Arabidopsis thaliana: one gene and its partners. The protein of the gene in region 1 interacts with the protein of each later gene in a pairwise test. Each region holds a gene or a part of one and is shown on either strand. Other genes may lie near its edges. The genes, in order: AT3G44620, PFK3 and AT5G44090.

What was found.
Region 2: the proteins of AT3G44620 (region 1) and PFK3 interact in a two-hybrid assay, tested with the Arabidopsis thaliana proteins (one large-scale study listed by BioGRID).
Region 3: the proteins of AT3G44620 (region 1) and AT5G44090 interact in a two-hybrid assay, tested with the Arabidopsis thaliana proteins (one large-scale study listed by BioGRID).

Annotation. Positions count from the first base shown.
Region 1 is NC_003074.8:16,191,407-16,196,931, reverse strand, and holds AT3G44620 (protein-tyrosine phosphatase), read right to left. Parts: upstream 3,104-5,525; 5' UTR 3,075-3,103; coding exon 2,709-3,074; intron 2,313-2,708; coding exon 2,177-2,312; intron 2,018-2,176; coding exon 1,794-2,017; intron 1,573-1,793; coding exon 1,510-1,572; 3' UTR 1,099-1,509; downstream 1-1,098. Other genes in the region: AT3G44630 (Disease resistance protein (TIR-NBS-LRR class) family), read right to left, coding at 1-384, 472-640; AT3G44610 (Protein kinase superfamily protein), read left to right, coding at 4,825-5,369.
Region 2 is NC_003075.7:13,299,385-13,306,694, reverse strand, and holds PFK3 (phosphofructokinase 3), read left to right. Parts: upstream 1-2,254; 5' UTR 2,255-2,664; coding exon 2,665-2,766; intron 2,767-3,144; coding exon 3,145-3,191; intron 3,192-3,305; coding exon 3,306-3,345; intron 3,346-3,441; coding exon 3,442-3,504; intron 3,505-3,584; coding exon 3,585-3,722; intron 3,723-3,809; coding exon 3,810-3,968; intron 3,969-4,056; coding exon 4,057-4,110; intron 4,111-4,180; coding exon 4,181-4,249; intron 4,250-4,339; coding exon 4,340-4,469; intron 4,470-4,554; coding exon 4,555-4,820; intron 4,821-4,917; coding exon 4,918-4,963; intron 4,964-5,041; coding exon 5,042-5,196; intron 5,197-5,400; coding exon 5,401-5,601; 3' UTR 5,602-5,917; downstream 5,918-7,310. Other genes in the region: AT4G26280 (P-loop containing nucleoside triphosphate hydrolases superfamily protein), read left to right, coding at 973-1,299, 1,357-1,974; MIOX4 (myo-inositol oxygenase 4), read right to left, coding at 6,549-6,575, 6,700-6,781, 6,875-6,953, 7,051-7,120, 7,231-7,310.
Region 3 is NC_003076.8:17,741,747-17,750,581, forward strand, and holds AT5G44090 (Calcium-binding EF-hand family protein), read right to left. Parts: upstream 6,780-8,835; 5' UTR 6,164-6,779; coding exon of another isoform or gene 6,014-6,163; 5' UTR 5,849-6,013; coding exon 5,594-5,848; intron 5,506-5,593; coding exon 5,266-5,505; intron 4,915-5,265; coding exon 4,809-4,914; intron 4,707-4,808; coding exon 4,607-4,706; intron 4,156-4,606; coding exon 4,050-4,155; intron 3,931-4,049; coding exon 3,840-3,930; intron 3,490-3,839; coding exon 3,348-3,489; intron 3,051-3,347; coding exon 2,903-3,050; intron 2,791-2,902; coding exon 2,681-2,790; intron 2,250-2,680; coding exon 2,093-2,249; intron 1,992-2,092; coding exon 1,866-1,991; intron 1,659-1,865; coding exon 1,518-1,658; 3' UTR 1,505-1,517; intron 1,366-1,504; 3' UTR 1,020-1,365; downstream 1-1,019. Other genes in the region: ckl7 (casein kinase I-like 7), read right to left, coding at 7,708-8,013, 8,099-8,232, 8,333-8,396, 8,489-8,574, 8,672-8,798.

The DNA of each region.
Region 1 (5,525 bases):
TGGTCATGACAATCTGACCCACCATTTGCCTGCATTTCATGATCTCGGCCAACTCATCAAGACACCAAGACGAAGAAGCATATTTTCTTGAGAGCAAAACGATTGCGATCTTTGATCCTTTGATAGCTTCTTTGAGCTCAGGACCGATCGACTTACTCCTCTCTATATTATTATCAATGAATGTGTCAATTCCCTTTCTTCTGAACGATTCCATGATGTGACTAAGAAAGGTTCTTCGGACATCTGCTCCGTGGAAGCTCGGGAAGACATCGTGTTTCCAGTTTCGAGACACAGAAGTTGCAAGGGAGGGAAGAGATAAAGAAGAAGAATTACTTTCTTGGTTATCTTGTTGGAATCTGAAATTTGTTAAAGCTACGGCTGCCACTGAGCCAAGGGAAATAAGAATAATTCATTAGTATGGTAAAGAGTGGATCAAGATTTAAGATGGCCTTTATGTGAATGGATACAGACCAGTGATGACTCTGTTGGCACATAAACTCCAAGATGACTCATCCGGAATGAATATGCAATTCTCAGCATCGTTTGTTGAGCATGTCTTTCGTCTTTTACAAGATTCGGAATCAACATCCTGACTCGTTGCTTTCCTCTTGGAACAGCTCAAGCTCATTGCAGAACCCATGAGAACTTAGATTATTGATGATTCACTGCTGCAACCATTAATTCCCACCATCAAGAACACATAATCAAGAAATGGGCTCAAAACACTAATCGAAAACAAATAAAGCATTATCATCAAATCAATTCAAATCCACAGTGATAAAACCTTAAGCAAAACTTAAAAATAGTTGGAACTTAGTTCAGACAGTGAGGAGTAAAAAAATGAAAATCTCACCGATGCATAAAACGATGAGAAATCTCCAGAGAGTTGAAGAATCACACGGGTTTAATGGAATTTTGGTAGTTCAAACAATTTGTGTGAATGAGGATATAGACCGTTGACGAGTCTATTGGCACAGAAAAACTCCATTGATGTTTCATGGAAAATATAGTGAGATTTCGTGGAAAATATTGCAAACGACAAAATCATTGTCCATATGCTCCACCACCATTCACTTAATTTCTCGGAAGCCACATAATGATAAGAGAAAATATTCTGTTATCATCTCAAACAACAACACTTCACGTCCACACATTCTTTTTTTTTTAAATCTATTTCTTTCCTAATAATAATGATCGAACAAAAGAATTCGTATTATTCAAGCGTGTAAAGAGTGCCACTCTCTATGATTCTTAAGAATCAGGAAGATCATTCCTCACAAACTATTGACATCACTGAAGCTATCAATCTCAATAATAATGATCCATCAGTAGATCATTTAACAAAGGGTTTTTCAAGGAAAACACCAACAAGATCAAGATCCAAGCTTCACATCAGTTCTCACTCTATTGTCATCACTGATGACACTTAAATATAATAAGAGAACTTTTCAGTTCTATGTGCAAAAACAACAAAGGTTCTAGGATTGGGACTTTGTACTTGTAGTATCATCAACTTTGCGCAGTGATACTATCCAGCAAAGACTCACAAGCATCTTCAAGCAAGTCCAGTACCTGTGAAAGAACAAGTAAGAGATCAAGATTCATGTTTCCAAGTGAGTTTTGTCCACATAAAACACTAAAATTCGGGAATGGAAAAGTTACTTGGGAGTGACACTGGTAATGCCATTTTAAAGTCTTATAGACTGACTCAACCATTTTGATAGACAACCTCTAATGGTATGAACCAAATTAAATATCTGCATTCAGCTTCTTTAGAGTCTAATGGTAATTACCTTCTCAAAACCTTGGGCTCCACCATAATATGGATCAGGAACAAACTTGTCATTGTGTTTCTTGCAATAAGAACACATTAGCTTAACCTGAAAATTCAACGAAAATCTATCAACTAAATAGAGTTCCAAAGTCCAGCAAACACACACCAACGGTACCTTCTTATCTGCATCGGGCGGGAAATTCCCTCTGGCTTTCCACACATTATAAGCCTTCAATATATCCTCTGCAAACATCAAACATTCAAACTCATACTTATTTCAATTCTACATATATAACTCTAATCAGATCCCAACTTGCAAAAGTCTCTATCCTATGTTGAATCCCATTTGCATAGAAATCGATCAGACCCTACAAAGGTTGAATAAATTACTCTATCAGCTACCTTTGTTCTGGTCATCCATTGCAAGAATGAGATCAAATTCTCTGAAATCAGATGCCTTGATCGGTCTGGATAGTGATGTTATCTCAATCCCGCGACGTTTCGCAGCACTTCTCATTCTTGGATCCGCCATATTCCCCTTTTAAAAAACCAACATTTTCACAAATCAGAAACATAAATTCCAAAGTCTCCACTGCTCCTAATTTACAACCACATTACATCCACCAAAATCTGAAAGCACCATTGCCTAATTGTTCCAATCAAAGCATCAATCACCATAAAAATAGATTACTGTTTTTGCTCTTCCCTAGTAAGAAGAGCAATTTCACATCAAAATTGATTCAGAAACATGAATTTCAAAGTCTCTATAACTCTGTATTCCTACCAAATTACATCCACCAAAAAAACCTAAAACCAAAACCAAACCTTTCTACATACAAAACCATCATTCACCAATATTTCAAATCAACCATGAATCAAGCATCTCTCATAAACCCTAAAATTAGATTAATTGTTTTGGAACTAATTATCATACCTCGTGATAATCAATTGTTCCAGCGGAATCAATGTTGAATTTGGAATCGAGACCTCTCTTCTTCACGATATCTCTAAAGACACCTTCAGCCGCTGGGCTGCGACAAATGTTTCCGAGACAGACAAAAAGAACAGAGTAAGGTTTGGTTTCGCTGCTCTGCGTCGGAGGAGGAGTCGCCATTGAAGATGATACAAAGCACCTAAGCGAATGAGAAATTCTGGGTTTTGCTCGGATGATAGAAACGAGATTCGGGTTTTTATCAGATGATCGGAAATGAGAAGGACGAAATTGTCTAGTGTAGTGGCAAAATGGTAAATATGAAGGGATTGTTAGAGAAGCCGTGAGGTTGGGACAGTACATCATCATTCCCCTGAAAAGTTGGAGATTTGGGATATACGAGTTTTCTTCTTCTGCTCTTTGAACTCCTTTTCCGTAATAAGCAAAGTAATAGAGGGGTATAATTGGGAATATACATAAACAATTGTTGGATTAGGAGTAGAAGAAGATGTTAGATTTTAGAGACGAGGCTAATGCTAGAAGACCAATTTTGTTAATGTATTGTTGTATTGTGTTGAAGGTACTGAGGAGAACATTATGGTCGGTAATGCAAATAATTTTGTGTAAATTCACAGAAATATTTTTGTTTTGGCCGGCGATGTTTAACTTTCATGTTGTGTTGTAACTTCTATGACAAGTTAAGGGCCTTTTTATCCATGAGAAACCCACAAAGTTTCTCAAACAAACAAAAAATTAATATTATATTATAATTTGATTTTTTGATTAAAAAAATATTTTTGTTAAAAAGTTGAACCAATAATGAGAAGAGAATTATCATGATGGGTTGTAAAGAGTATCTCAGAGTTTCTCAAGTGAGAAACTTTCTACACTCTTTTTCCTTCATTTTTATTATTTTTTTTTTTTAATTGTGAGAAATTCTTACAAGAAACCCCCGATGGAGATGGTCTAAGTGTCTCATGTTTCAGTACTTTGTTGATGGATAATGCGTTACTTATTGGCCCAATTGTACAGATGGTCTTTAAACTCAGGCCTAAGGTTTTCAACAGATAGCCCATTTCATTCTCCGAAAAACAGTTAGTACTTATGACGATTATTTTTTAATTCGGATATATAGTTACAATTTACAAACCTCATTGAAAAGATTTGTTTTGGTCATTGTTATGAATGTTCTAAGTTATCAATTTATTTGAACCTCTTTCACTTGTATTTTTTCGGTCTGACTAGAAAATATCCGGTTTAAGACGAGTGTTACAAATTGGTAATATATCCAGGGCCGGACTTAACAAAACCGGTTTCGACCCAAGCAATTTGTCTTTCAATGATATGGTTATAGACACTTTCCTTATCCAACCTAAAATGTTTCTGCTGATTTCATTAATGAGAAAATACAAGGGTTATATACACTTTCCTTATCTAACATATTCACCCGAGTCAAACCGGTTAGGTATATGCAATTGAGTTAAACCAATATCTAAACCATAATGGTTTCAAAGGAAATGAAAACGAGGCCGAGCGACCAGTCGACCACTAACCTGAGGTTCGTGCAATAGGGATTTGAGTTCACGATACAAATTGTTCACCAATAACACCATCCTTGTACTTGGTGACATAATATTCAAAAGACAGTGATTAGATATTTATTTATAATTGTACCATACGAAGAAAATACTAGTAATCACAACTGAAATAGAACAAACACAAGATATGTATATGTCATTATCTTAATTCTGTAGGGGCCTAGATTTATATGTCTCTTTGTTTCTCTCTTTTGAAACAAATCCTATACCAAAGATCTTAAAAATTCATAGAGAAATCAAAAATCCCTCTCAAATAATTCCCTAATTATTGTCTATTTACATAAATAAAACATCTCAATTATAGAATACTGTATCATCATCTCCTTAACAATCGAACTATTACCTTAAATTACGAAACGCACCATATCTCAACCCTTAAATTACAACTTTGCCATCTTCTTTTGATTCTATTTTTTCTCTTCCCCAAAAAGGCAAAATCTCACAGTTACTTCTCTCTTTCTCTCCCTCTCTTCTTCTTCTTCTTCTTCTCTCTCTCGTCGTCACTCTCAGTAGATCGGAAAATGGAGCCATGGATTGACGAATTAACCGACGACTTACAGAGTGTAAGCTTTACATCAGCCGGAACCACCGTGAATCGAAGCACAAGCTCCGGTTCTCGCTCTTCCTCCTCCGCCGCAGCTTTAACACCAGCACCATCAGCTCACGGTTCATTCTCATCTTCGAAACTCCCTCCTTCACTCCGATCATCTCTCTCACTCTCCGATCTCAGATTCCGTCTCCGTCTCGGTTCCGGCGACATCGGCTCTGTTTTCTTAGCCGAATTCAAATCCCTAACCGCCGTAACAGAAACCACCGCCGTTAAATTACCTCTGTTAGCAGCGAAAGTTATGGATAAAAAGGAGCTCGCGAGCAGAAGCAAAGAAGGTAGAGCTAAGACGGAGAGAGAGATTCTCGAATCTCTTGATCATCCGTTTCTTCCGACGCTTTACGCCGCCATTGATTCTCCGAAATGGCTCTGTTTATTAACGGAGTTTTGTCCCGGCGGTGACCTTCACGTTCTCCGTCAAAAACAGACTCATAAACGTTTCCATGAATCCGCCGTCAGGTAACAGTTTCCGTTAAGTTATTTATTTTTTTAAATATTCAGTTTCTAATTCAAAAAAAAATCTTTTGGGAAGTAATTATTACTATGAAGCAGTGAATAAATATAAAAGCCTGATGAAATCAGGGAAGTGGGACTCGCCAGCTGGCGAATTGTCTC
Region 2 (7,310 bases), on another chromosome or scaffold:
ATTATATATACACGTAAATTTTACAAAATGTTACGTAAATTTGCTCCCTCAATTTTGTATATTTGCTTATGAACTGTGTCAATGTCACATCCATATTTGTTATTCAAGCCCTGGTTAAATAGCAGAGAAGAGTATGCCAACAAAATTACCCTTCCCGCCAACTATTACACACAAGCTAAAATGAATCAATTCTCTTATGGTTACGTCAAACACTTAAACTAACCTGTTAACCAGCTTAAAAAAAAAATATATGAAAGTTGCAGAATGTTGAACCTATAATCTAACTTAGACATTATCTTGCGATAGGAATATATTAAAATATTTAAATAATTAATGCTGACATTGCGATGTCATGTACGTTTCCAATATAAACACTCTCGATTAAAGTGAATAAGTGATGCCCTAAGTGATATGTATAGGTCAGGACATTGTATATTATTGAATCATCAAATGACCATTCGGGCAGGCTGAGGTACAAATAGATAAAAATCGATGGTAGATACCAGTTGGAAAGTGAATGGAATCCTTGGCAGCAGAAAAGATAATTTTGGAATCTTTGGATTTTAATGTCCTATTATCTCATAGACAAAGAAGACAGAATTTTTACTTTTAAAAATATCAAGTTTATAGTTATCGTATGCTAGTTATAGGAAGACATACTTTTCACGAGTAAAAGAACTTTTTTTTGTATGTATTACACTTCTAGTATAAAAATACATGCACTATAATTTCTGATTCATAATTTCATAATCCCCTACCACGTTATCTCTCTTTTTGTTTTTGTACGTCACTATTGCCTCTCGATTTTTGAGATACATGTTCGTAATAAAATAAAATAAATATTTTTAAAAGTGATGTGTAAACGTTTTATTGGATCATATATTTTAACATTTTAATATAAATAGTGATACTAGGGGTTTGAAGCAAACACAGCATTCAAAATAAGTCGCTAAAAGTAAAAACAAAAGAAAAATGGAGAAGTGGATGAACTTGAGAGACGAAGACTTAACGGAAGAAACAAAGACTCTAATCTCTTCACTTTCTTCAGAGAAAGGGTACCTCGGTCGAAACCTCTGCAAGTACCAAGGCTCTTGGTATTACTACAACTTTCTCCAAGGTGTTCTCAATTTCCAGAGAGGTTTTAAGCCTCAAGACACTGATATTATCGTCGCATCGTACCCAAAATCCGGCACCCTGTGGCTCAAGGCACTCACTGTCGCGCTTTTTGAGAGAACAAAGAACCCTTCTCATGATGATCCTATGAGCCATCCTCTTCTATCCAACAATCCTCACAACCTCGTACCTGTCCTTGAGATGAATCTTTACCGGGATACCCAAACACCGGACTTGACCTAGCTCTCATCATCATCTCCAAGGTTGTTCTCTACTCACACGCCTTTCCACACGCTGCAAGTAGCTGTCAAGGACTCTCCTTGCAAGGTGGTTTACATCTGCAGGGACGCGAAAGATTCGCTGGTGTCACGTTGGCATATCGTTTGCAGGAGTCTGAATAAAGAAGAGGACAGAACCATTCTTGAGTCTATGTTTGAGTCCTTTTGCAGCGGAGTCTGCTTGTTTGGTCCGTTTTGGGATCATATCCTGAGTTACTGGAAAGCTAGCTTGGAAAAGCCAAAGCAAGTGCTTTTCATGAGGTATGATGAGATAAAAACAGATCCTCATGGTCAGCTCAAGAAACTCGCAGAGTTTTTGGGTTGTCCATTTTCTAAGGAAGAAGAAAAGAACGGATCTCTAAATAAGATCTTGGAGATGTGTTCTCTGCCTAACCTGAGCAGTTTGGAGGTTAACAAGACCGGAAAGTCAATCAATGGCATAGAGTACAAGAACCATTTCCGCAAAGGGATAGTTGGTGACTGGAAGAATCATCTAACTCCGGAAATGGGTAGCAAAATCGACATGATCATGAAGGAGAAACTCAAAGATTATTCCGAGGTTTGGTTTGAAAATGCATTGTAATAATTAATAAGTGACCCTTCTGATGTTAAGGTGCATGGTTTTAAAATTCTGAATTAGTGATGTTTATGTGTTGTTTGTGTTTTGTTTTCCTTTGAAATGCATTGTAACAATAAGTACCTGTATCCTTTGATCATGTAAAGGTTCATGGTTTCAAAATTCTGAGAAATAATAAACCGGATCGGTTATTTCGGTTATCGGTCGGACCGTATTAATGCATGGCTTGACCTTGACTTGATAACCAAGCCCAACAGTTGGAAAAAATCAATAAAAGGTAACAAAATAGAAAACCAATAAACAAATATCAATTCTAGAAAAATATCGATCTTTCTCTGCAAGTACTTGTACTAGTCGTCGTTACTGTCAAATAATCTACAAAGCAGTGACCAAAACCACCATTTCCGCACATAGCTAAGACCTTTAATGGTTTCCTCTCTCTCTCTATCTCTACCTGGCTTTGTAATTTGTTTACCGACTACAATGGTCAAAATTTCTCTACTCCTATAAAAATGGGTCGCCTTGTTTTTGATCAACGGATTTGATTCATCTTTCTTTTTACCTTTCTTCCTGCTTTCGTATTCAATTTGTAGTTGACCAGTTCAAAAGTCTCTATACCAGAAAAAAAAATCGTTTTTTATTATATTATAAGACTTTTCCCCTGAAATTGTTGTTCCTCTGTTTCGAGCGTTCGTTATGAGTACTGTGGAGAGTAGCAAACCGAAGATCATCAATGGCTCTTGTGGTTATGTTCTAGAAGATGTACCGCATCTCTCCGATTACCTTCCTGGTCTTCCTGTATGTTTACCTCTCTCTTTTTTTAATCTGATTTGATTAAAGCTTTTGCTTTTGAGCTTTAACTGTTGCAAAAGGTTGAAACTTTGATCTATGTTGATAGATATTTATATATCAATTTTTTCAGCTGAGGACTGTTTAGTTTTTTTGTTTGGAATTTGAGATAGATGAAATGAATTTCCCAGATTCTGATTAGTATAAGATAGCCCAGGGTAAAGAAAAAGGGGTCTTTTGTATTTGGGTCTCAAGAATTATGAACCTGGATCAAAATCTGTAGCATGGTTTAAGAGTTTTTGTCCTTTTACCATGTTATTTTTGGGATCGAATGATGGTTAAGTTTTGATTAATGGTCAATTTTCTTTTGGTTTTATGTTATTGTAGACTTATCCTAATCCATTGCAAGACAATCCAGCTTACTCAGTGGTTAAGTAAGTCCTTTCTCACAGATGTTTTGGTGACTAAGGTTCCTAATTGTGTCCTATGGTGATTCAATCATTAGCCTGCAGTTGTTACATTAGTTTTTTATTTTTGGAAATTTTCAGGCAATACTTTGTTGATGCTGATGACAGTGTTCCTCAAAAGGTATATATTTGGTTGGGTTCTTTCTATAATATCAGGGCATCCTGAGAATTTGGAGCTCATGTTTTGTCTTACTGACTCTTCTTTTTGTTGTTTTAGATCGTTGTTCACAAGGATGGTCCAAGGGGGATTCATTTTAGACGAGCCGGGCCACGTCAGAAGGTTTTTCGTCGTTTTATCGAATTGCTTTAAAGTCCTTTTTCCATTTCAATAGGGTCTGTTGTTGACTTAGTTCTCTGCAGGTATACTTCGAATCTGATGAAGTGCATGCTTGCATAGTTACCTGTGGAGGTCTTTGTCCTGGCCTTAATACCGTGATTAGAGAAATAGTGAGCAGTCTATCTTATATGTATGGAGTGAAGAGAATACTGGGAATAGATGTAAGTTTCTGTGATTGTAATCTCCTTCTTACCAAAACAAACACGGTATTCATTTGTTTCATTTTCACATGCTTGAGACTTTTTCAGGGTGGATATAGAGGCTTTTATGCTAAGAATACTGTCTCCTTGGACTCTAAAGTTGTAAATGATATCCATAAGCGTGGAGGGACTATCCTTGGGACCTCACGAGGTGGTCACGATACCACAAAGATAGTTGACAGCATTCAAGATCGAGGAATCAATCAGGTTTTGATAACCATCACCTCTTTACACCGTGTTCTGTTCCAAGAGTACATACAAACTCGTTCTTGATGTAGTTTTTTTCATCGTTCAGGTTTACATTATAGGAGGAGATGGAACACAGCGAGGAGCATCTGTCATATTTGAGGTAAATTTCACTTCTACCTTACAATTCTACAATTTCAGTGTTTACTGATCTTTTGGTGGTAACCATGTAGGAAATTAGAAGACGTGGCCTGAAAGTTGCAGTTATTGGAATCCCGAAAACAATCGATAATGACATACCTGTATGTATCTCTTTCTACTGCTTTGTCTCTATAGAAGAGCTGTATTTCTTATGTGGAGAAATTGAGAACTTGACTTTTGTATTTGTGCAGGTGATAGACAAATCTTTTGGGTTTGACACTGCTGTAGAAGAGGCTCAACGAGCTATTAATGCAGCACATGTGGAAGCCGAGAGTATAGAGAATGGTATCGGAGTTGTCAAGCTTATGGGTCGCTACAGCGGTGAGAATTCACTCTTCTACTTCTTCTTTGCCTTATCAAGCTCTCTTATTAGACTATTTCACAAGTTTGTTCACTGCTTTAACAGGGTTCATAGCGATGTATGCCACTCTAGCAAGCAGAGATGTGGACTGCTGTTTGATTCCGGAGTCACCATTTTACCTGGAAGGAGAAGGCGGACTGTTTGAGTACATAGAGAAACGACTCAAGGAGAGCGGTCACATGGTTCTTGTGATTGCAGAAGGTGCAGGACAAGATCTAATGTCGAAGAGCATGGAATCTATGACACTCAAAGATGCATCTGGTAACAAACTTCTTAAAGATGTTGGCCTTTGGCTGTCACAAAGCATCAAGGTAAACCATAAATTACAGAGACAGCATCAAACATTGATGCATAGGAAAATCAGACTAAACTCACCTACTACTAAATTTTGGTTTTACTCGGTTGTAGGATCATTTTAATCAGAAGAAGATGGTGATGAACCTCAAGTACATAGGTACAATTTATATCCCTTGCATTGCATTCTCTCCACCATGAGTTTCTTGATTGTTCATTTTTCTTGTCTTAATTTCAGATCCAACATACATGATTCGAGCTGTTCCTAGCAATGCGTCAGACAATGTTTATTGTACACTTCTGGCTCAGAGTGCAGTGCACGGTGCAATGGCTGGATACACTGGCTATATCAGTGGTCTAGTGAACGGAAGACAAACCTACATACCCTTTTACGTAAGTCATAAAATCGATTTAAATTTTAATGATGTGATAGCATGCTTTGGCAATCAAAAAATAGAGCACCAAAAATTGATGATGCATGATCATTATACCAGTATCATCATACTGTCATCAGTTATCATCACCGTTAAAGTCATCATCCTCATATCATCATAATCATAGTATCACTTTTATGTAAACATCATTTTTATGTTACAGAGGATAACGGAGAAACAGAACCATGTGGTGATCACAGACAGGATGTGGGCAAGGCTACTCTCTTCGACAAACCAGCCGAGTTTCTTGGGCCCCAAAGATGTCTTTGATAATAAAGAGAAACCGATGTCGGCTCTCCTTGACGATGGTAACTGCAATGGCGTGGTGGATGTTCCTCCAGTCACCAAAGAGATCACCAAGTGACCTGAACATAAGAACAACGACAGAAAAGCTTTGCGTTTTCAAAAGATGTTACATGTTTTAGGTAGTTGAGTAAAATAATAGGGTGTTGACGGTTTTACCCTTTTTGGCATAACAAAGCAATCTTTGTTAGATGCCTCACGTTGTAATTTTCCACGTCATGATGCTTTAGTCCCACGTCATATAAATAAGTTCCATTTATCCCATTTTACATTCTGCTTATATATAGAATAATCTAGCTACGAATTGTCAATGCATGATCATGTCAATGTGATGATTGATTATTTGCTATTTAAGACGTTAAAAATATGTTCTTTGCTGAAATCAAAATGCAAATATTCAAGTTCTTGCTTTCAACTATAACATGGTGAATCCTTCAAAGTTTTAACCATGTGATCAACATAAATTTTGTAGATAATTTCATACGAAATGACAGTTATACTAGATCATTATCATCGTCATATAGAAATATGTGATTACGTATCTTACGAATTACACCTGTTTGGTACGTAATTCTCTTCTGTCCATGACCTAACAGAAGCGAAGATGCAAAGATACCGTGATCAATTTGAACACCTCTATCTGAGTATGAGCATTAAAGGTCATGACATTGTTCGCATGGATGTATCAGTACTAATGTAATATTGTACACTTAGAGTTACGTTAATAAAACTTTGTTTACATTACAATGCACAATTTTTAGACCTTGGAGGCTTAGATTATTATAAATAAACTTCATTATTTAAGATCTTATATCACCCGACGTACAAACTCTTTAGCATTCACGAGGGTTGATTGTGATTACATTTCAGAGACAGCCTGAATATGATTAACATAAGATATATATAACACAATTACAATAGATTCACATTAACTCGAAAATGTGTAAAAATATTTGTAAGTAAATAAAACGACTAATCCTCCATGGGCACTTTTTTACTCCACCGAATTCACCACCTCAAGTTTTCCGGGAAATACTGCAAAATCGAAAAAGAGAAGAAAGAATTTATAGTCAGCTGAAGAATTTAGAAATATATGAATGTTTTCAATATTAATACACTTTTCATTGTTTTTTGTAATGAGCATGCAATATATACTCACTTTCTTGATAAGAGACATGTAGTAAGGCTTGACCTTCTCCACATCAACGTGAACTTTGCTCTTACTGTACAAGTCGTACTTGCTGTAATAAAATTCATATATATATATAGCAGTTTAGAGATGCTATTAGGAGAAACAACAAATCACTTAATCATGTTTAAGAAAATGTGATTACTTGAAAACGTGTAGCCACTTCAGATTCTCCTTGTCTTCCTCGTTCATAAGATGGGTGTATTCTCCAGCCGTGTGCAAAGCTGCATATATTCAATTGATTTATTAAAATAACCTTTACTCATAGCTACAAATTTATAATGTTACTAAAATCATATATTTCTTAGTTGAAGTGCTTACGGTAAAAGGAATGGTATCTTATGATAAACTGTCCAGCCGACGGCAAGGTACTTCCGTTTTCTTTAGCCACCTGAAAAAAAATATTAATTAACATCAACTTTATCCTTTACAAAACTCAAGATTGATTAAACTTTTCTGAAAAAACATTACTCTAAACTGTAAAAATAATCAAGTAATTACCAGGTACATGTAGTCGTCATGGCCCCAAGACATCATGACATTGTTTAATCCACACCCTTCAGAGTAAATCCCATTTTTAG
Region 3 (8,835 bases), on another chromosome or scaffold:
ATGAAAGAATTCGTTTGTTGTGCCCCATGTTATAGTGATTTTTTTTCTAATCAGTTGGTTATTACTCATTATTTTTACTATTTTCAAGTAATAAATGTTTTCAGTATTTAACTTATTTTTCCAAATTTATCTTTTTCTATAACTCTTTGAAAGAATTATGCTAATACAAGGACACTTCAATTTTTTCTTTTTCCATTTACATGTCTTTTAAAAAATGTTTATATTGTATTTTATTTTTAAAATTTATATGTTAGCTATGTTGTGCCCCAGGTTAATTATGGTTCTAGATCCGCCACTGGAGACTAACATCATCATTCTCATGAAAAGAGTCGCAACGACTATAAAAGTGATCGCCGTTTAGTCTAGTGATGCCGACGATACCAACATCTCATGTAAAAGTGGTCGCAACGACACCCTTACTATTTATTCTCCGTTTTCTTTAGAGAGGCTTCTCCGTAAAGAAAAATACAGAAGCTACACGATCTTGACAAACTCTCAAATGTTTGATTTTGCAAGGAAAGAAAAAAAGTAATAATGAGAAGAGAGAGAAAGAGAGTGAAAAGAAGAAGCGACGAAGAAGAAGAAAAAAAAAGGAACGTGGAAAGATGAAACTTTTTTTTTTTATTATAATTTCTTAATTTTCAGAGATAAATTGGTCAAAAGTTTAATGAAAAAGTTGGAAAAGTGCTTCATCCGTGACAAGTGCCTCAAAAAGAATAAAATTCTTTAAAAATGTCTAAACGTGTCAAATTCCCTTATTTTTAACCGCCATAGAAAGTGAGTTCATGCTTGTTAAAACAAAATGCACGACTTTTTAACACATCTTCCAAAATATCATATTGACAAACAAAGTTTTAATGATTCTTATACAAACAAATAACCAATGTCGGCTCAAACCAATCAAAAACTGATATATAGTATATAATTTGATTTGATATTCTATAGTTTATACGAGAATTGTAGTTGATATCATAGGCACAAATTTGCTAATGAGGAAAAAGCAAAAACAATGATCATGTAAAACAAGTTTCAAGGTTTGTAAATTTCTTCCCACAAAAAAAAGTGTCTTTGTACATAGTTCTTTCGATTTTAAATAAAACCGTTGTTGTTGGTTCCACAAAACACTATAAAGCGGCGTATATAATAATATACATAAGATTGAAAGAGGGTCCAACCTGAGAAACCTAAGCAAGACAAATATTTCATGAAACTAACACAAGCTTACGCATCGGATAAGTCTCTTGGTCGCCAATCTCTAGGTGGAACCGTGGAATGGACTGGCTTTCGTGGTTGTCTGTCTGAAAATTGTTTCCGAGGCTCTTACCACCCAAGAAGATCTGACTTCTCCCTCTTCTTCCCAAGAAACTAGTAAAAAAAGCAACGAAAACGGCTTTTAATACGTTTAATATACCAAAAGATACAAACTTGTAACATTGAGCACATCAATTTTGCTATTTCATACATGCATAAGGAACATGATGCTGACCAGTGTTGAACAAAGTACCTCTTACGAGTCACTAAAATGGAGATTCGAGTGGTTCATCCCAAACATCTGCACTCCCATTCGAGACTTCCTCCACATCTTCCTCCATTGACAACCTCACATACTCTCTCTGAGCAAATCGGTCCCATTCCGTCAATGTTGGATTCTCACGTTCCTGTCAAATGGAAAACAAAGTTGGTTTAGAAGTAGCAGAGACTGGAACAGATACAACCGGCTGCAGTAGTAGGTGACTATCTGAACTTATAATAATTTTTGCGAATTTTTATGGCATTAATAAATATTCAGTAGTAACAGTTTCAACAGCTAAACGAAGGATTGAATAACCAAAGGGAGGAAAACTCTATAGAAAACCTATGTTTACCTGACGAATGAGAAAAGGGTCACGGGTTTCAAACGCCATGAATTTGTTCAGGTTAAAGAGTATATTGAAAATATTTCCAGAAAGTTTGGATGCTTTCAGATCCTGGAGTGTGATGCAGTTCTCCTTCTGAAAGAGTCATTCGACAAATTGATGATGCGAATAAGAGCAAAGGAACAGACAAGCCAGGAATATCAAAAGACCATGTTATGGTTTAAAAGAAATTTTGCCTCTGGTTTAATCATGTCGAATATTTGACATAGGATATCTTCAAAGAGTACAGGTTCCTGGGTTATACATTCCATGCGATGCAGCTGCTCTTCGTAGAAAAACTGCATCTCGTTGGGAGTGATCACCCCATCTCCATCTAGGTCTATGCACTTGAACCTGCAAAGATGGTTTTAATCAATATCAAGGGAAAACGAAAAACAAAAAACTGCCAAGAACCTGTGTTTAACATCGATGGGAGATAGATGAGCATACCAGCGAGGTATGCCCTCATATCAGCGGTTCAACTGAAAATGTTCTAGATTCATGAGATGATGAATGAAAATGTTCTAGGTTCATGAGATGATGAATGAAAATGTCTTAGATTCAAGATGGGTATCCTATGTTCATGAAATAATAGTACTACTAAATGTTTAGTGCGTTCAAAATATCAGGTAGGCTTGTATCATCAAGAAGGCCACATATGCCACAAGTTTTGGCTCAGAAGTTATACATTTATAGTGACATACTGTGAGCTAAGCAGCTAAAGGACAAAATGGCTAAAGAGAAGTCACTAAAGACAAAAAGAGAAGAGGGGAAGAGACATGTACCAATACTCAAGACTAGGCTCAGATGACTTATCCTCCTCAGCGAGAATAAAGTATGCAAAATCTTCATAACTCATCTTCCCCTCAACTTTGCTTGTAAATTTCCTAGGAACCTGAGTGAGAGACAGCCGTAATTTCAATTAAGAAAGAAGGAAACACACTCCATAAGATAACAATTAAGTTTCGAGAAAAGTGTTCATTAACATTTTGACAACTGGAGCCAACCTGTGAAAATATTCTGTCGACAATCCTGTAGGTAAGGGCATGATTACCATATTTGATGAGATTTTCCTTATCAATAAGGAAATCATGGTCGCCATCGAGTTCCCAAAATCTGCAGTATATCACGTAGAAATGCTCATAGGAGAAGTACCTGAAAAGTAAAGAAAAGGTCATATTGAATGGTCAAATCATGCATGATGTCTTGCCACAGTATCACAATATGAACTACCAATACACTTCTTCCTCTTTATGAGTTTTATGGGTAGTGCTTATGTCTAAGAAACAATTCGAAGACCTATGCACTACCCATATTACTCACAATGCTACACACCTTGCTGAGCTTGAATTCTTAAACAACTTAAAGTGGTCTTTATTATACAAATAAAACTAAAATCTTAATCTTTTTAACGTATTGTTTAAGAAATAATGAAAAGGAAAACAAAGTCACCTAATAACTTTATTGATGTCGTCTTCTTCATCAACTTGTTGCATGGCAGTAATAAGATTCCCACGCTTCAGCTCTCTAAGAGTAATGCAACCAGTACCTGATCTGTTTATGTAGTAAAATATTCTGTAGATGACGGTCTCAGCTGGGTTGACGGAATAGAACACAGAGATGAATGAAACAAGCACGGGAAAAATTATGAATTAGTCAATAGATGTATAAAACAGTAAGCACCTGAAAATATACTATATTTAAGAAGCATCTCATAATTTTCAAAATGTAATTATAATGAACAAGTACATAGAATTAAAATTAGAAGAATTATTGCCTAGGCCAATCAAGCCAGCTAAAGATGTCACTTTCAAGTTCGTCAATGCGTTTTGAAAGATCATATATATATGGAAAGAAATTGTACGAACGTCTTAGTAGAAAACAGACATTCTGGTAGAACTATTTCACACCATAACATCAATGTATCAAAAACCAAGTTCTTACCATATCTTTCTTGAAACTCAGGTGTATTCCTCAGGAATTCCAAGCCGGGATGAGTTGTCAGAAGCTCATCAAGAACTGGTTTGAAGTCAGCCTATCCCAAATCCAAAAGAAGACATTAGCCTTCAGGACTAAAGAAATCAAGTGAGACAATAATCATTGGTAAACAAATCAAAACAGCAGTGAAGAGCTGGGAAAAGAAAACAAAGAGACCTGTCTAAGGTACTTGCAACCTGGCTGCCTTAAAATATTATATATCTGTGAGGCTACGTCCATTGCCAACATATGTCCATCAACCCAATACTTGATAAATGCATCCCTGCAGGAACCAAATATGGTGTATTTAAAAGATACTAGCTAAACAGAAAGATTACAGCTGCTGTATATTTCTATGATATTACTCATGATTTGGCTAATTTAAAGATGTATCAATTCCAAACAATATCTACAGGGTAGAAACTTCAATATTACTTATCACAAATGTTCTAAACAATATATAAAATCGAGCACACTAAATTTATTGAAAGTAAAAAGAAATTATATTCGAGTGGCATAAATAAATAAAAAGATAACAATCAGGTATTAAAATTACTATGCCACATTCCATTTCTTTTAAGGGTGAGCAATTTATGAAACAAATAGCTGAGCGTGCATCTGGAAATCCAGACCAATGTGATCTATTATTATATTACATGAAACACATATGAATACCAGTGGATATATACATTTAACTACAATTACATATGAAAAGAAAGAACACAATGATTTACCTTGTAACGATACCGGTGCCACTCGTGTCTATCTTTCTAAATAGTACAGAGGAAAGAAAAGAAGGCAGCTTGCAGACTTCTTTAGTAATGGATTTGAATTCTGCAATTGAACAATAGCAAGAATGTGTTTGTAAGATCAACTGTTTGTCTATTCATTACAGAACGGGACTGTGATGTAAAAAAGCTTGTATTTAAACATCACCATCCATATGAAGTCCGTCTATATAGTTACTAAAAAATTGATCAACCATGGATATACATTGCTCCCTTAGTTCCTTCGCAGGTGGACGTCCATGTTGGAAGTAAAACTGCATAGCATATCAAGGCATAGAAGCGTCAAACAAGAATGTTGAACAATATTAGCTAAACCCTTCAACTATGTAAGATGTCAAACGGATGACCATAATAAACTTACTTGTTGTCATCGTTTTGTTAAAAAAAAAATTGTACCTATGCTACTTGAACGAAGAATTTAGTTTCTATTGTATTTGTTCTCGTGGTTCTCCATCTACTTAGAAAACTATTACAGTCTAGTTTCAACAATTACGTGAGCATATATAAAACAATCAAATCATGATGTCAACTGTCAAGCAAGGTAGTGCCTTCTCATGTTGTTTGTAAGACATCCATATGAGGAGCAGTTGGATAAAAAATCGAACCTGTGGAATGAGTTGGCGCTTTGGTTCCCTGACTGATTTCAGAGGAGACTGTAGAGAAGGGCTTGTCTTTTGCCTCGAGAAACGGGGAGACCCAGGTGAGCCTCGTGGGGATAGTGGGGGAGTGCCGCTGTTCAGAAAAACAGATGGCAATGCACTCCCGCAAGCAACATTGAGACTAGTACAATTTTTGGATACACTGACTGGGGTACTAGATTTAGTATCATCAATTAAAGACTTGACCTGCACAAACATCACACAGATGAACTGTTAAAAGAGGACCACGTAAAACCTTAAACGAAAAACAACCACCAAAAGTTTCTTCACCAACATGAGTCGGCAATCGGCATACAACACTGGACCATATTCTCAGGAGCTTTAAGTTAAATCTGGTACTACACAAATACAAACACTTCTCAAGTTTAGCAGAGCCTTGTAATATCCCAGTACTATTATCACCTAAGTCATTATAACCCCTAAATGTGCTATTCAAGCACTCTTTATCTAACACTAAGTAAAATCTATAAGAAATAAACAAAACTACTAAATATGCAACAGCCGAGGATTCAGTAAGAGCAATAAGCATGTTGAATCTTGCTCTGCAGAAATTGACTTGAAATCAGATAAAGTCACAACAAGGACTTACGAACAGGTATCAGCATATACATAAAACAGGCGCCAACTATTAAATGAACAAGAAACCAAACGACGCTAAGGAGCCACTGAGCCAGAGGCTTGGGAATAAAATTACCAATCGGCCAGTTTCAGGAAGTGAAAGCCACTGGGAGAAGAGTTCTTCAGCAATATGAGGATTTTCTTTAAGTGATACAGGAGACAAACCGGGAAGCTGCAAGAGCTCAGGATCCAAAATCTGAACATCGTTTCCACCATCGATTTCCATGATTATCTTCTATCTTATTCACTGAGAATCAGAACTACAACAAAACCCCAATATCGGAATTCCTTGAGTCAATTCTAAAATTGGATCGAAACCCTAATTTCTTCCAATAACTTGAAGCAGTAACTCCAAAACAGGATTCTCAGACTTTTCAAAGATCTATAAGCACGAAATCCAAAGAAAATTCAATAAAAGCAGCTCTGACCAATCGAGAAACTCTCTAACTAGTTGAGAAACACCAGCTCGAAGAAGAGAAACTAAACGAAAACCAAAATAAACGATTCGATAAACCCTAGATTCCCAAATTCTATCAACAAGCAAAACAGAGTCCTATACAAAACTTCTTCTGCAATTCAAGCACAAACGTGGAAGAAATTGGAAGATCCAAAGAACACTGATCTCTCTCTCCGATCAATAACAAGCTCGACGACGAGAGGAAGTCGTAGAGAATTTTTCCAGGGAGATTGTGTTATTGATGAGAAAATGAATTAAAAAGGAAAAAGTATTTAATTTTGATTTTAATACTCTCTCTCAGTCTCAGACGCAGTAGTACTAGCGGTGGTGGTGGTATTTTTGTTTTCCACTTTTAGTCCTCAACGTTGACCAAAAAGTCAACCAAATCCAGCGTTCTTTATCCGTTTTTGCGATCATGTTTATTTGAGTCTCGAGTCAATTAATAAATCGCAGAAATTAGCGATCAAATTGTTTGTTTGGTTGTTAAACTTCATGACGTTTCGACTGTTATCATCAAGATTGCAACTGATTCATTAAAGTCATAAAAATGTGACTTCACATGTGTAAACCTAGTTTTGAAGAATGATGATGAATATTTGTCATTTCTCAAAAATTGTATTGGAGCACTTGCTTTTTTAGTCGAAATGCAAAAGTATGTAGGAGTAGATCATATGAATCTAAAAATGAATGTATTTTATATGTGTAACTTCAATATGAAATTCAGTTTTGCCACTTTATTCGAAGATGAGCGCTAACAAAATGTGAAGAGTTTAACTATAACCATTCAAGTATACGATCAGTGAATAAGTAAACATTTGAAGTATGGAAAAAATAAAAATAAAGAGTTTTAGATTGGAGTCATCTAAAGTATGATTTGACTAAGTAGATGAGCTAATTTTACTATTAAGCCAAAATTTCACCGTTTTTACATGATTTGACCAGAGTATGCCTGCCCCAAAAAAACAGAAGCATTAAAAGAGACCAAAGAGCAGTTGATTGTTTTGTTTATTACAGTACCAGTACAGATAGGTTCGAAGTAATCGAATATACGGATAGAAATTTTACCGTTTTTACATGGAAACTCTCTCTACATTTTTGATTGTTATGTTTGTCTAACACATATCACGATTACATAAACAAAACGAGTGAAAAAGATCTCTGCAAGCTGAAGCTGAAATTACATGTAAAAAGATCTGAGGATTTCATCAGGTTCAAATATATGAATTCCCTCAAACCAAGATTCTCATCTTTCTTCAGAGGTAATTTCTTTGGGTTTTCATGGAGTTTGCTGTCTCTCTCTCCATCATTTTCCTTTATTTCCGAAGAGAGAGAAGCTCGAAGCTTCTTAATTGATCTTCCCGAGTGTTTCTTGCCGCTGTTGCACGAGAGAAAGACAGAGTCTTGGATTCATATCCAGCTTGCACTCTCTGGCTAGTTGAGGGACGGCCATTTCCACTGCCGCTGCCACCACCACCGCTTGAGGAAACCAGACGACTTGAAGTTCGGCTTTCGCTTGGTCCACCTGCAGAACTTGGCCGGGAGCTTGAAGCAGCAACGGCTTTCCTAGAAGAAGATGCTCTATATCTTGAGGAACTGTTTGCTCTTTCGGAGTCTCCATGCTGCACAAATAAAACAAACACAGTTAGGTCTTTGTCTTATTTAGCGGTTCTGATCAACAATGTATGTAAAGAGTAAGATTTTTACTGTCTGCTTAGAGAAAGGTCCGTCGTCTGAGTTTCTTGATCTAGAACGATCTCGAGGCGAAGAAGTTGTAGTCGGGTGTCTTCTGGAGAATGCCTCCACTGCACCTGGGATTTTATATCGGGTTGTTTCCTTTCCTACACGAATGGTAAATAAAAAAAGAGTAGAAATTAGAGTGAGGAATGGATGTGTATGGTTTTGAGATTTTTAATAGAAGTAGGAAAAGCAGAATTTTACCTAGGATCCTCTCTTGTCTTTCAATAGGATCTGCGTTGAATCCGGGTTTCGCTGTTGTATGATGCTGGAAAATCCAAAGATTTACATTTACGTAAGTACAGAGAAACTCAAAAACCATGAGGGTAAAAACACAAGTATAAGATTTTTAATAATCACCCTTGTTCGTGAACTAGAACCAGAGCTGGATCCGATTTGAGGATACTTTAAGACTGTCCAGTCAAATACATAATCGAATTGATAACCTGTAAGAGTTTCAACAATATGAAAAAGATAAGATGAGAGTGGCTTGAAACAGTAAGCGAATAAAATTTCTCGGAATAATGATGTTAAGATAAGAACCTTCTCGGATAAACAAGTCACGGAAAAGCCTCTTGAGGTAAGAGTAATCAGGTTTGTCATCAAACCGTAAAGATCGGCAGTAATGAAAGTATGAAACGAACTCGGACGGTTGGTTTTTACACAATACCTACATCGAAACATTCCAAGCTCAGTTAGAAAAGCTA